Rhinolophus ferrumequinum: one gene and its partners. The protein of the gene in region 2 interacts with the protein of the main gene of each other region in a biochemical or structural test. Links are inferred from orthologs where the notes say so. Each region holds a gene or a part of one and is shown on either strand. Other genes may lie near its edges.

The links.
Region 1: of the proteins of CDK7 (region 2) and GTF2E1, one has a biochemical effect on the other in vitro, tested with the Homo sapiens proteins (3 studies listed by BioGRID, with this or other methods). The link is inferred for Rhinolophus ferrumequinum from reciprocal best matches to the Homo sapiens genes CDK7 and GTF2E1.
Region 3: the proteins of CDK7 (region 2) and GTF2H3 form a complex in vitro, tested with the Homo sapiens proteins (2 studies listed by BioGRID). The link is inferred for Rhinolophus ferrumequinum from reciprocal best matches to the Homo sapiens genes CDK7 and GTF2H3.

The regions. Positions count from the first base shown.
Region 1 is NC_046285.1:46,089,667-46,093,416, forward strand, and holds the start of GTF2E1 (general transcription factor IIE subunit 1), read left to right. Parts: upstream 1-1,204; 5' UTR 1,205-1,333; intron 1,334-1,342; exon of another isoform or gene 1,343-1,691; intron 1,692-1,714; exon of another isoform or gene 1,715-2,996; intron 2,997-3,036; exon of another isoform or gene 3,037-3,750. Other genes in the region: RABL3 (rab-like protein 3), read right to left, coding at 1,002-1,047.
Region 2 is NC_046290.1:44,758,258-44,762,007, reverse strand, and holds the start of CDK7 (cyclin-dependent kinase 7), read right to left. Parts: upstream 2,925-3,750; 5' UTR 2,808-2,924; coding exon 2,742-2,807; intron 2,690-2,741; exon of another isoform or gene 2,571-2,689; coding exon of another isoform or gene 2,532-2,570; intron 2,408-2,531; coding exon 2,348-2,407; intron 1-2,347. UniProt on the Homo sapiens protein: Serine/threonine kinase involved in cell cycle control and in RNA polymerase II-mediated RNA transcription. Cyclin-dependent kinases (CDKs) are activated by the binding to a cyclin and mediate the progression through the cell cycle.
Region 3 is NC_046308.1:4,295,585-4,299,334, forward strand, and holds the start of GTF2H3 (general transcription factor IIH subunit 3), read right to left. Parts: upstream 2,800-3,750; 5' UTR 2,724-2,799; coding exon 2,711-2,723; intron 470-2,710; coding exon 390-469; intron 1-389. Other genes in the region: EIF2B1 (translation initiation factor eIF-2B subunit alpha), read left to right, coding at 2,982-2,994. UniProt on the Homo sapiens protein: Component of the general transcription and DNA repair factor IIH (TFIIH) core complex, which is involved in general and transcription-coupled nucleotide excision repair (NER) of damaged DNA and, when complexed to CAK, in RNA transcription by RNA polymerase II.

The DNA of each region.
Region 1 (3,750 bases), on a different chromosome or scaffold from region 2:
GTGCCGTAAAGGTAGTTTTCAAGCTCTGGGGTAAGTGCTCTCTATCTCTAAGCATCTGGCACAATGTCTTTGCTCACAACACACTTTCAAAGGTCAACTCCAGAAAAGCACATCTATGAACTGAAAGGTTAGCATTTATTCCAAGTTCTAAAGGAGCACAGGAGTGGAGGCTATGGTGAGAAAGGATAGTAAGGTGAGAAGAGGGAATGCAGAATTCAATTCTAGTTCTCAAATGTCCAAGGTGTCAAAAGAAGAATTTTAACATTAGGACAAAACTGGGCTCAGCATTAAGTCCTAGCTACTACATAATATGGCCCTTACCTTAATGTCTCTATTTCTTACAATCTAGCACCTAACAGGTTTTCAATTAACATCAAAGAGAACAAAGAAATCAAGAAGCCCAGTAGAGAGTAAAACAGGACTACCACTCGATATTTCATTTCATAATATAGTTTAGTGTTTAAGTACGTGGCCTCTGGGTTCAAACCGGTTCTGTCATTTATATCTCTCTGCTTCACTTTTTGTCATCTGTGAAATGGTGTGATAGGGTTGATCTCGGGATTAAGTGAGTTAATATATGCAAAGCACTTAGAAGAGTCTTTTTTTTTTTTAAGTGCACGTTTGACTTCCTTAATAAACAAACTCTTGAAGGCACAGTCCTAACTTCTGTCTTAGCCCGGCGCCCAATACAATGCTCAATGTCTGCATATCTTTTAAATAAAAGGAACTGACAATATACACTAGGCTACGATCGCCCAGGAGATTGACGTTGAAAGACGCGAAGGCCGAGAAGGGCCGGGACTCCACGACCCCCATCCGCGCGACGCCACCGCTCCGTCAAACAGAGCAAAGTCCTCTGGGAAGTGTAGTCATTACGCCTTGGGAGGGATTTCAGCCACGGATCGGAGTCAGTTAGTTTGCGGGGCGGGGGGGAAGGGGAGTAGTAGTTATCGGATAACTCAAAAGTGTCGGGAGCCCCAGAGGTGGGTTAAGCAGCTCACCTGAGTCTCCCAACACCAGTACTTTCACCCGATCCAGGGACGCCATCTTGCCATTGCCTTCCTGGGGTTAATACCAGTTCCGGGTTGTAGGCCAATCAGAGCTGGGCATGGAGGGCCGAGCCCTCAATTTCATTGACCAATCAGAGAATGACCATCTTGATTGAAGGCTTCACTGTGCTGATTGGCCGGCCTGGTTAAAAGAAGCGGGTGGTTTCCAAAGCTGGTCGCAGGAATAAAGCGTTTTCTTTGTCGCTCGAGTGGCGTGACACGTTTAAGCCGGTAGTTGAGGCGCTGAGGGAAGCTGTAGTGGGAGTGTTCGAGGATTCGCTTTGGTAAACCTTGTTCCCTGTTTCTTGTTCTCGGTTCCCTGGCCCGGAGTCGCATTTCAGGGTTTCTCTTCCTTTTCGCTCCTGGCCCTTAGCCACCCTCCTCCCCTTAGCTACTCTCTTGACTTGGTCCTCCAAAGAACCATTGACCCCGGAGCGTCCCGTGTGCGACCTCGGGTAGGACGGGCTTGGCTGCGCCGAGTGTGGCCCCTGGACTCAGCTGGCAGAGTCCGAGGAAATGTGGGGTCTCGCAGTGGGGAGGAGCGCACGTTATTGAACCCGGCTCGTGGAGGGCCGCTGGGTCCAGAGTTCGCGGTGGTATGCAGCTGTATATTTGAAGGCGTGGAGAGTACCATGCAATATGGTAACTGAGAAAACCATTTAAATGTGTAGGATCCAAGTTATTCCACAACTGGAGTAGTAGTATGCTGAAAAAAATCTAACTGGACCTACCCCCCCCATCCTATCCTTTCTCCTTTTATTTTACACTCTGCAGTCAGCATAATCTCTTAAAATTGCGAATTTGATCCTGTTACCTGCTGCTTAAAACCATTTAAAGTTTAAGAAGAGGGTTTCCAGTAGCTTTTTCTAACTCTGGAAGCAGCAGTGGAGGAAGTAAATTGGGGGGAAGCTGTCCGGGTGGGCATGTTGGAAGAACGCGTGCTTAGGACATCTATTGAAAGTTTTATGGAAGTAATTTGACTAGCTGTGCTGGATGCTGGAAAGTCAGTGGTGAACAAGATTGAGTTCCTGGTCTCAGAAATAATCGGAGAATTACAAGGTTATTCACTGTAACGAAGAAGGTTGGGAAAGAGCTATGGGAACTTGTGAAAGGGGTTAATACTAAGCTACTAAGGCGTATCTGGGAAGGTCTCTTTGAGGAACTGTCACTTGAGCTGTGGAGGATTATTAGGAGAAGAAAGTTTAGGCAGAGAGAACAGCATGTGCAAAGGCCGAAAGTGGGGAAGGCGTGTGTGGCACGTGGAATTGAGATGACGCTGACAAGGGTAGACAGAGAATGCATTCATTTAAATTTTGTTTCTGCAACTGTGCTTGGTACACAGTAGTTCTTCAGTGATTGTATGATTAGAATATATATGATTTAAAAACAAAAGCAACTTGTCTTTGGGGGTCTGTGCTGGGTAGGGAGGTATGTAAGACTGCGAGGTGACTGAACCTCAGGCTAAAGATGGAAAAAAGGCTTCCCCTAAGAGGTCACGCACTTAAAACTTTCTAGAGGCTAGCCAAGTGACAGCTGCTTTTCAGCTGCAAGTTATCGTTTCCATGTGGGAACATGGTCTCACTTTTCCTCAGATAGTTCCAATTTTCAAGAGGAGCTGAAAATTGAGATTTATGTGAGATCCCACTATTTTAAAATGTTGACGACTGATTCAGAAAATTTTCAACAGTCTTTGGGTCAGACAGTATAGCAGAGGCTGCCAGTTAGAGACCTCTGACCTAAGTAATTTAAGGAATCCAGAGATTGAGTAGGAGGTTTAGCATATGTGGGGAAGTACAAGTGATGGAAGAGAGAAGGTATTGGTCAGGGAGGATTTTACAATGTAGAGATTTTGAACAAGATGACTTCTTTCCTGAGCTTCAATTTCATTTGTGCAGCTACCTACTGGATGGACATCTTCACAGGACTATTCCATGGTATTTCCTCAAAGTAGGCAACTAAAAGTGAATCCCTCAATTCCTTCCAAACCTGTTCCTATTCAGGCGTTAACCTATTTTTCATAGTAGTAGTTTTCCTAGTTACACTGGCTTAAAACAAATAGCTATATGTTATTGTTTAATAAAATATTGTTTGATGGTATAGTGTTTCAGTTTTATAAGATGAAATATATGGAGATGGATGGCGGTGATAGTTACACAGTAATATGAATGTATAATATCACTGAACCGTATGCTTAAAATGGTTAATTGGTAAATTTTATGTGTAGTTAACCACAATAAAACTATTATTAAAAAGCAAATATTTAAAATTTTTCTTCCCTCTTACTCCATTTCCAGTATATTACTAGATCCTCATTTTGATTTTGTTTCTGTAATAAGTTTCATTCCTGAAATTTTTTTGCTGTCTTTCTTAGTTCAGGTTTGATTATAACAGCTCCTAGTCCTTCCTTAATCCTCCATCTTCACTTACCTCAGGCCATTCCTCGTATTATTGTCACTTTTCTGCATAGGGGCTCTTATTATGAATGCCAGTACTTAATGGAACTCTTATGATGTTAGCCTTGAAAGCAGCATACTATACATGAATTATCTCATTTAATCCACACATCAATTCTATGAGGAAGGCACTGTTAATCACTTTTCACATATGAGGAAACTGAGACTGAGGATTTTCCAGGGTCACAGGCTGGCTAAGAAATGGGGGAACTGGGATTCACAATCCAAAACTATTGGACTGCAGAAAC
Region 2 (3,750 bases):
AAGTCGATATTATCTTTAACTCAACAGAAACCCATACCTTGTGATTTTTAGTCAAGGTATGCCTACTATTTCTGGCTGCCTCAGGGGGTTAATGACTAGTAAGGGAAAGGGCTACGGCTTACAGGACATGCTATGAAGAAACCGAATAGAGTGCCGGGGCTACATATTAAATCAAAACCATACATTCAATCAGGAATCTTGGGTTTCACTGAGTCACCTTCAAGGAGTAAAAGTCTAGTCCAGAGAAACAGGATGGATTCTATCCTAATTTATGTTTAAAGCAAGCAAGCAAGCAAACAAAACCCACTAGGACTTTGAGACAACTGGTAAAACTCAATATGCCAACAGTTTGAAAAGATTATATCCTTCAGTGAAGTCAATACATTTCTAATGAGTGTCTACAAATGTACTAGCCATAGTTCTAAAGATAATTCGAATGGAAGTAAACAAACAATAAATGTATAAATAAGAGGATTTCAGATTTTGATAAATGCTATGAAGATAGAGAAATATGGCAAAGAACCCTAGGGAAGGATGGAGGCATGCCTCTTTTAGCTAGAGTGAGCAGCAAAAGCTTCTAGGTGGAGGAGATATTTGAGTGAAATCTAAATAAGGAATCAGCCATGCCAAGTTTTAGAGGAAAAATGTATTAGCCAGAAGGCAGAGCAAATGCAATGATCCTGGAATTGGAATGAATTTAAAGTGTTCAAGAAACAAAAAGGTCAGTTGGCTAGAATACAGCCTACCGGGAATAGAACTGAAAAGATAACTTTAGAAAGGGTTGGGAGATTTAAAAAAGAGAGAAATAAAAACTGTGGGGAGAATTAAGGGTTTTACAAAGGAGTAGCTATAGTGCTGGGTTACAGAACATAAAATGGAAAACGAGGTAAGTCAGGAAAAGTAAAGAAGATGATAATGGCAGGAATAATTGTGCCAAGGAAGAGAGGGTATTAGTGTTAAATGAATGAGGTAGATATGCTTCAAAGGAGTTAGGGATTTTGAAGAAGAAACAGATTCAAAGTAGCAACAGGAACAAAGTAGCAATACAAAGGTGGAAGTCCCCTACTTCACCAATAGGCCTTGAGATGTGAGAAAAACAGCCTTTCCTTGAGAGGGTTATTGATTTTTTTTTTTTTTTTTTTTTTAAGATTTTATTGGGGAAGGGGAACAGGACTTTATTGGGGAACATTGTGTACTTCCAGGACTTTCTCCAAGTCAAGTTATTGTCCTTTCAATCTTAGTTGTAGAGGGCGAAGTTCAGCACCAGGTCCAGTTGCTGTAGTTAGTTGCAGGGGGCAGAGACCACCATCCCCTGTGGGAGTCCAGCAGTTGAACTGGCAACCTTGTGGTTGAGAGCCCACTGGCCCATGTGGGAATCGAACCGGCAGCCTTTGGCTTTAGGAGCACAGAGTTCCAACCGCCTGAGCCACCGGGCTGGCCCGGGTTATTGATTTTTGTAGTATGGGAAAGGGCAATCAACCTGGCAGCAGGACTTAAATCCTAGCTTTAACAATTACTAACCATCTGTATCATCTTGAAAGTCACCTACCGTTTTTTCCCGAAAATAAGACCTTCAGCTCTAATGAGTCTTTGTGAGCAAAAATTAATATAAGACCCGGTATAAGACCGGGTATAATATAATACAATATAACATAATACTGGGTCTTACATTAATTTTTGCTCCAAAAGACGCGGTAGAGCTGATGGTCCGGCTAGGTCTTATTTTCGGGGAAACACAGTCCTCTCTCAGCCTCAGGTACCTGAAGTGTAAAACAGAGACATTTACTTTACCTATTTCCGCAAGGCTGTTTTGAGGGTTAAATGAAAAAATGTAGGTGAAAGTGCCTGGCACATAAAGTTAGCTAAATACGGCCTAAGTTTCTTGAATGAATGCAAATAAAAAAGCTACTTAAATCATTTTTAAAAATGCATGCACATCAATGTTGTTCATGTTGGTGAAAGCCTTTCATGATAAATCTGTACACAGAAAATACAGATATGACAGATACATAGAGTGGATGCAGGTGAGGCAGAAATAGGGAAGATCATGATATTAAATAGTTTGAGGACCCAGCAGATTGGCAGTACTCATCCCCTTTGCCAAAGACTGAGTCGAATAAAGCAAACATAACATACTGTTTCCTTTTCATTTCAATTAATAGAAAAGAATAGTTCAATTCGAGCTCCATTTTGGAACACAGGACACTAATAAATTATTCTTCCTATGAAAATGACATAAGTAATTCATTAGTAGAACATGGTCAAGATTAGTAAAACGGCCATCCACCAGCGCACACATCTACTTCTTAAGAGACTCAAATAAAAAAAACCAAACCCTGTAACTCACTTTCTTAATGGCGACTATTTGGTTGGTGTTCTTGTCTCTGGCCTTGTAAACCGTGGCAAACTGGAGAAAAAAGAGAAATAACGTAAGTTTGTGGCAATTTTTCGTGTTTGCCTTTTTACTTTAGATTTTGGGAAGCAAAGAACCCAGGGTTCTTGCAGCGGACTTTCGGCGGCTTGAAACGTACAGGCAGTTGTTCTGTCCACGTCCCGTTCCTCTCTATCATTCAGAAAGGAGAAGGCCGCTCAGGGCTCATCTCCAGGGTATGGAGGGGCAACAGCTGCCTCTGGGCAGCCTTGGCCAAAGAGAACGAGTAGCCAGGCCAGAGAAAACCTGTGAAGGTGTGAGGCGGCTCCGTGGTCTCCGCTCAGCACCGCCGAGTCCCCGATAGCCTCACCTGGCCCTCCCCGAGGAAGTCCAATTTTTCGTAACGCTTTGCTCGCGACTTCACGTCCACAGCCATCTGTCACGCGAATCCCGACTCCAGCTGAAAAGGGCGAGCGCCCAAAACAGCAGGAATTTAAAGCTACCTTAAAGCCTCCAACAGTCACTTCCGTTCACTAGGCTCCGACGCTTTGTTAGCTCCGCCCCCACTTCCGGGATAGGCGTGGCTGCTATTAAATAAGTCCCGCCCGAGCCCACCCAATGGAAGGCAGGGATCGTTGGCTTTTCCGCGCCGCTCCCCGCCCTGTCACGTGATCGCCCGTTGGTACCGGAAGTGGGGAGTTTTCGATGGTGGTTAACCTGTGTCACTTTTTTACCGTTTTAACTTATGTATTTTCTTCACTACCGGGGACCGGTCAGCGTTCTATGATGTTCTGAGTTCGGGATTTGATAGGTATGTATGAGTATGATAGGGTTGGTCCACCTGATTTCTCTGTCTGGTTCACGCTAAAGGGTTCTGTCGCACCGTTACTATGGACGCCTAGCCCGGCAATCTCAGGTTACTTAGAGCGCGCCCAGTTGTTAAGAGCTGCTCAAGAGGCATTCTTACTTAGTCTAGTCTCTTAGTCTAGTCTCTTTATGAAAAAGCACGCCTAGGCAAACAAAATCCAAGTCAACTTTAGAGTTTTGTGCTGTGGAACAGACTTCTGGTCATCAGTTTTTTACTCTGTAACGTGGAAATAATAATAGACCACATACATCATAGGCTGTTGTGAGGCTTAAATGAGACATGCAGAGTTTGGATATATAGTAAGTGCTTATTAAGTGTTAACAGTGATCAGTTCTCAAATTTTGATTCTCATAAGATTTGCATCCAAATCAAACACAATTCATTTATTCAGTATTTATTGATTGCTTACTATGTGCCACTTTGTTGTATACTGAGAAATCAGCAGGAAAAAAGAGATTCCTGCATTCAAACAAGAGTACATAACAAATAAGTAAAATGTTATGATCATAGC
Region 3 (3,750 bases), on a different chromosome or scaffold from region 2:
TTTTGTATCATTTCCTGTGAGTCTGTAATTATTTCAAAATAAAATATTTCGAAATAGGAAGTTTTTGTTTAGAGACCATATATGCAAGGAATCATTCTGAAATGTCCAGAAAAGGCAATACAGAGACAGAGTGGTTGTCTGCAACAGGTGGTGCAAGCAGCGACTGACTATAAATAGGCATGAGGGAACTTTTTGGGGTGATAAAAATGTTCTAAAACAGAATTGTGGTGATGGTTACACAACTTTATTGTGGTTTTTACTAAAAAATCATTGAATCGCACATTATGATGGTATGCAAATTATACCTTACTAAAGCTGTTTTTAAAAAATCAATATAAACATATACTGTTTTACCAGAATCATCCAAAAGCCTCCTCAAGCAATCTTACCTGAGATTGCTTTAATGCTTGCTTTCCCCACCAAATTGGATTGGTATCAACGATGATAACTAGAAGATTCAACTCATCTTCTGAAAATATTAAGAAAAATAAAAAGTATTAGCCTCGTGGATCAAAGCCGACATTCTCAATCAGTAAATTAAATCCAGAGCAAACACCACTACAAGCCTTTACATGTTTCTAATCCTACAAGCACAAGATTAACAAAAGGCAAAGTTCTTTTAAAGATTTAAAGCTCTGTGGGTCCTTAGCAAGCTTTTGCCTGCTTTTTGTACCACTGCATCTTTCATCACTAGAATGTAAGCTCCATGAAGAGGGATTTTTTGTCTATTTTGTCACTGCTTATCCCCTATTCCTAGAATATAGCCTAGCCATAAGAGGATGCTGAATAAATATCTATTAAATGAACCCAAAGATATTTGCCTGGTCAACCATAGAAGGCACTGAATAACCAGTTGTAAGAACCACTAGTAGTAGAATTTCCGGCAGAGGGGTGGGAGGCTACAGGGAATACAGGAATCGATTTGGTCCCGAATCCATCAAATGACCTAGCAGCAAGGCCAGCTATGATTAGGAATCAATTTTTAAAGAGGTGAAAACCAAAGAGGGAAAACCAATTCCTGTGTAAAGACTATTTTACTGTGAAAGGAATTAGGCTGCTCTCCAAACACAGATATAACTAAACAGGCTAACTCAACACGTTAATTCACTCAACACACTAAGTACCGGTGTTAGGTGTTGCGCATACCATGTGCACGCCTTCAAGGAGCCTACACTCTTATTGAGGTAACACATATACAAACCCAGAAGCACATACTGTTATGAAAAACCCAGGATCCTAATCCTGGGATGAAAGAACACATGTAAATCACACAACAAAGGGCCTAGCACAGAAGCAGCACTTAAAGACTGTGTCTCCCATAGGCCCTCACTCCCCTACCCATAAGTCCTTAAGCCTTTGGTCTTATTCCCCATCAGGCCCCACCCCACAATTCTCGGGCCATCCATTCCTTGCTACTATTAAGAAGCCTGATGATTTCACTGATATGTGGTATATAAACCAAAAGCAACAAAAGAACAAGACAAACAAATGAGAAACAAAAACTCACAGACACAGACACTAGTTTAGTGGTTACCAAAGGTAAGGGGGGAGGGAGCTCGTAGATAAGGGTAAAGGGGAACAAACATATGGTGATGGAAGGAGAACTGACTCTGGTTGGTGAACCACACAATGGGATTTATAGATGATGTATTACAGAATTGTACACCTGAAATCTATGTAACTTTACTAACAATTGTCACCCCAATAAACTTTAATTTAAAAAAAGGGGGGAAAAACCCAGAAGCCTGATGAAAGAATGAAAGGTGTGTATTCACACACATGCAATGCCCTGTGAATGTCCTTCTTTGGTTCTCTGCCTCCTCATTGGTAGACAGGGGCCTTGCCAGCTCTGCCTCCCTCACAGGGTTGTGGTATGGATTAAAACAGATAAAGCAAGCATGGACAATCACAGCCTCCAAATAGATCTATTTCTATTCCTGTTTCCCACCGTCCATTTTCCATAGAGCAGACAAATCTTTACAATTTTATGTTAGATCATAATACTTCCTTGTTAAAACCCTAAAAAGGCTTTGTATTACACTTAAAAGTAAAGCTCAAGCTCTTTATCATGGCCCTCAAGGGCTCTGCACCTGGCTACCCTCTGATCTTATCCCTCTAGCCCACCTGGCTCGGGCCACCCTGGTCTCTTTTTTCTTCCCTTAAGACATCAGGCTCTGAAACTGGTAGGATGATATATGAATGAAAGTCTCTCCACCTTCCTCCTTCCCCAGGGTCCCCTTTTCTGTCTTCTCATTGTAAAGTAGTGGCTCAACTTGCCAGGGGTCTTTGCAGTCATATGGCTCAGTTTCAATATCACTGGTCTTCCCTGGACAACTATCGAAAGTAGCTCCTTCCTGAATCAACTCTTAATCTATCTACCACATCATTCCACTATATTGTTTTCATAGCTCTGTTCCCCTTCGAAATTTTTATGTATTTGCCTATTGTCTGTCTCACCCACTAGACTGCAACCTCCACGAGGGCCCGTCACGTACTCTGCTGCATTCCCCAGCACATACAACAAATAACGCCTGGCACAAAGGAGGTGATCCAAAAATATTTACTGAACGAATGAATGAATACATTCGTTACTCCTCTAAAGACCAAACAGGTTACATCCAACCCAAACCATATAATCCATTTGGCCGGGCCTGGCCGGGCCTAGTTGGTCCAGCCCCGGGGTATGGGTCCCACCCGGCGCGGCCCTCACCGTCTGAGACCATGGCTGCCCGGGTTCCTCAGCGCAGGGCCAAGAGCAATCAGAAGAGCATCCCGGATGTGGCGCTCTCCAACTTCCGGCGCTGTCAAATGACGTCAGAGGCGGTTTGACCGAGGCCCCGCCCCCAAAGCGCCGGAAGTGGAGTGCGGAGCCGCGCCGCGCGCTGTCAGTCTCTGTGGCTCGGAGCCCGCGCGGTCACCCGACTCGTGCAGGTAGCGCGAGCGGCTCCGGGCCCCTCGGGCTCTGCGGTCCGGAGGGCACCATGGACGACAAGGGTAAATCGGGAGGGGATGGGCCTGCTAGGACCAAAGCGGAGCCGCTCAGGGGTCCCTCCACCTCGCACACACAGGCTGGGCTCAGGGAGAGGTCACTTTCCAAACTTAGGTTGCTCTGCTGGATGTGGTTCCTCTAGTCACAACTAATCTTTCTCGCTGCTCCGGTATCCAGGGGATGGTCTCTGAGAGCATCTGCAGACACCCCCTCTCCACACGCTTCTTTCCACTGCCCTCGTCCAAAAAAGTAAGACTTTAGACGAAGTGTCAGGTCTTCGCAGTCTTGATTTCCCCATATGTGGGATAGGAATAAGACTCCCTGCTCTGTTGGATCTGGTACTAGAATCGAGAGAATAAGCCGTGTTTGATGTGGTCATCTAGTGTGGTGATCGAAGTGTTTTATTAAGTGAAATACAAGGGCAAACTTTCATGTTAAAAAGATAAAAGGGGATTGACCTCTACATACACGTAAATAAGTTTATATGTGAACAGGCTTGACTTAGCATAGACTGCCCGCAGGGGTACAGGAGAAATTGATAAGATGGTTGACTCTGGAATTCTCTCAGAACTTGGGGTCAAGGATAAGAGGGAGAATGACCTTTCACTATCATTCAGTAGCTGTCATCTCTAGTCCCATCAACATTTATCATTCCCCTGAAAGCCAAACACATGAAAAGTAGTTTTTAAATTATGTTGCTTCTTAAGGTCAACAGTTATTGACAAGTTCTCCGGCCTTAGATCCTGATAAACAAATTTGAT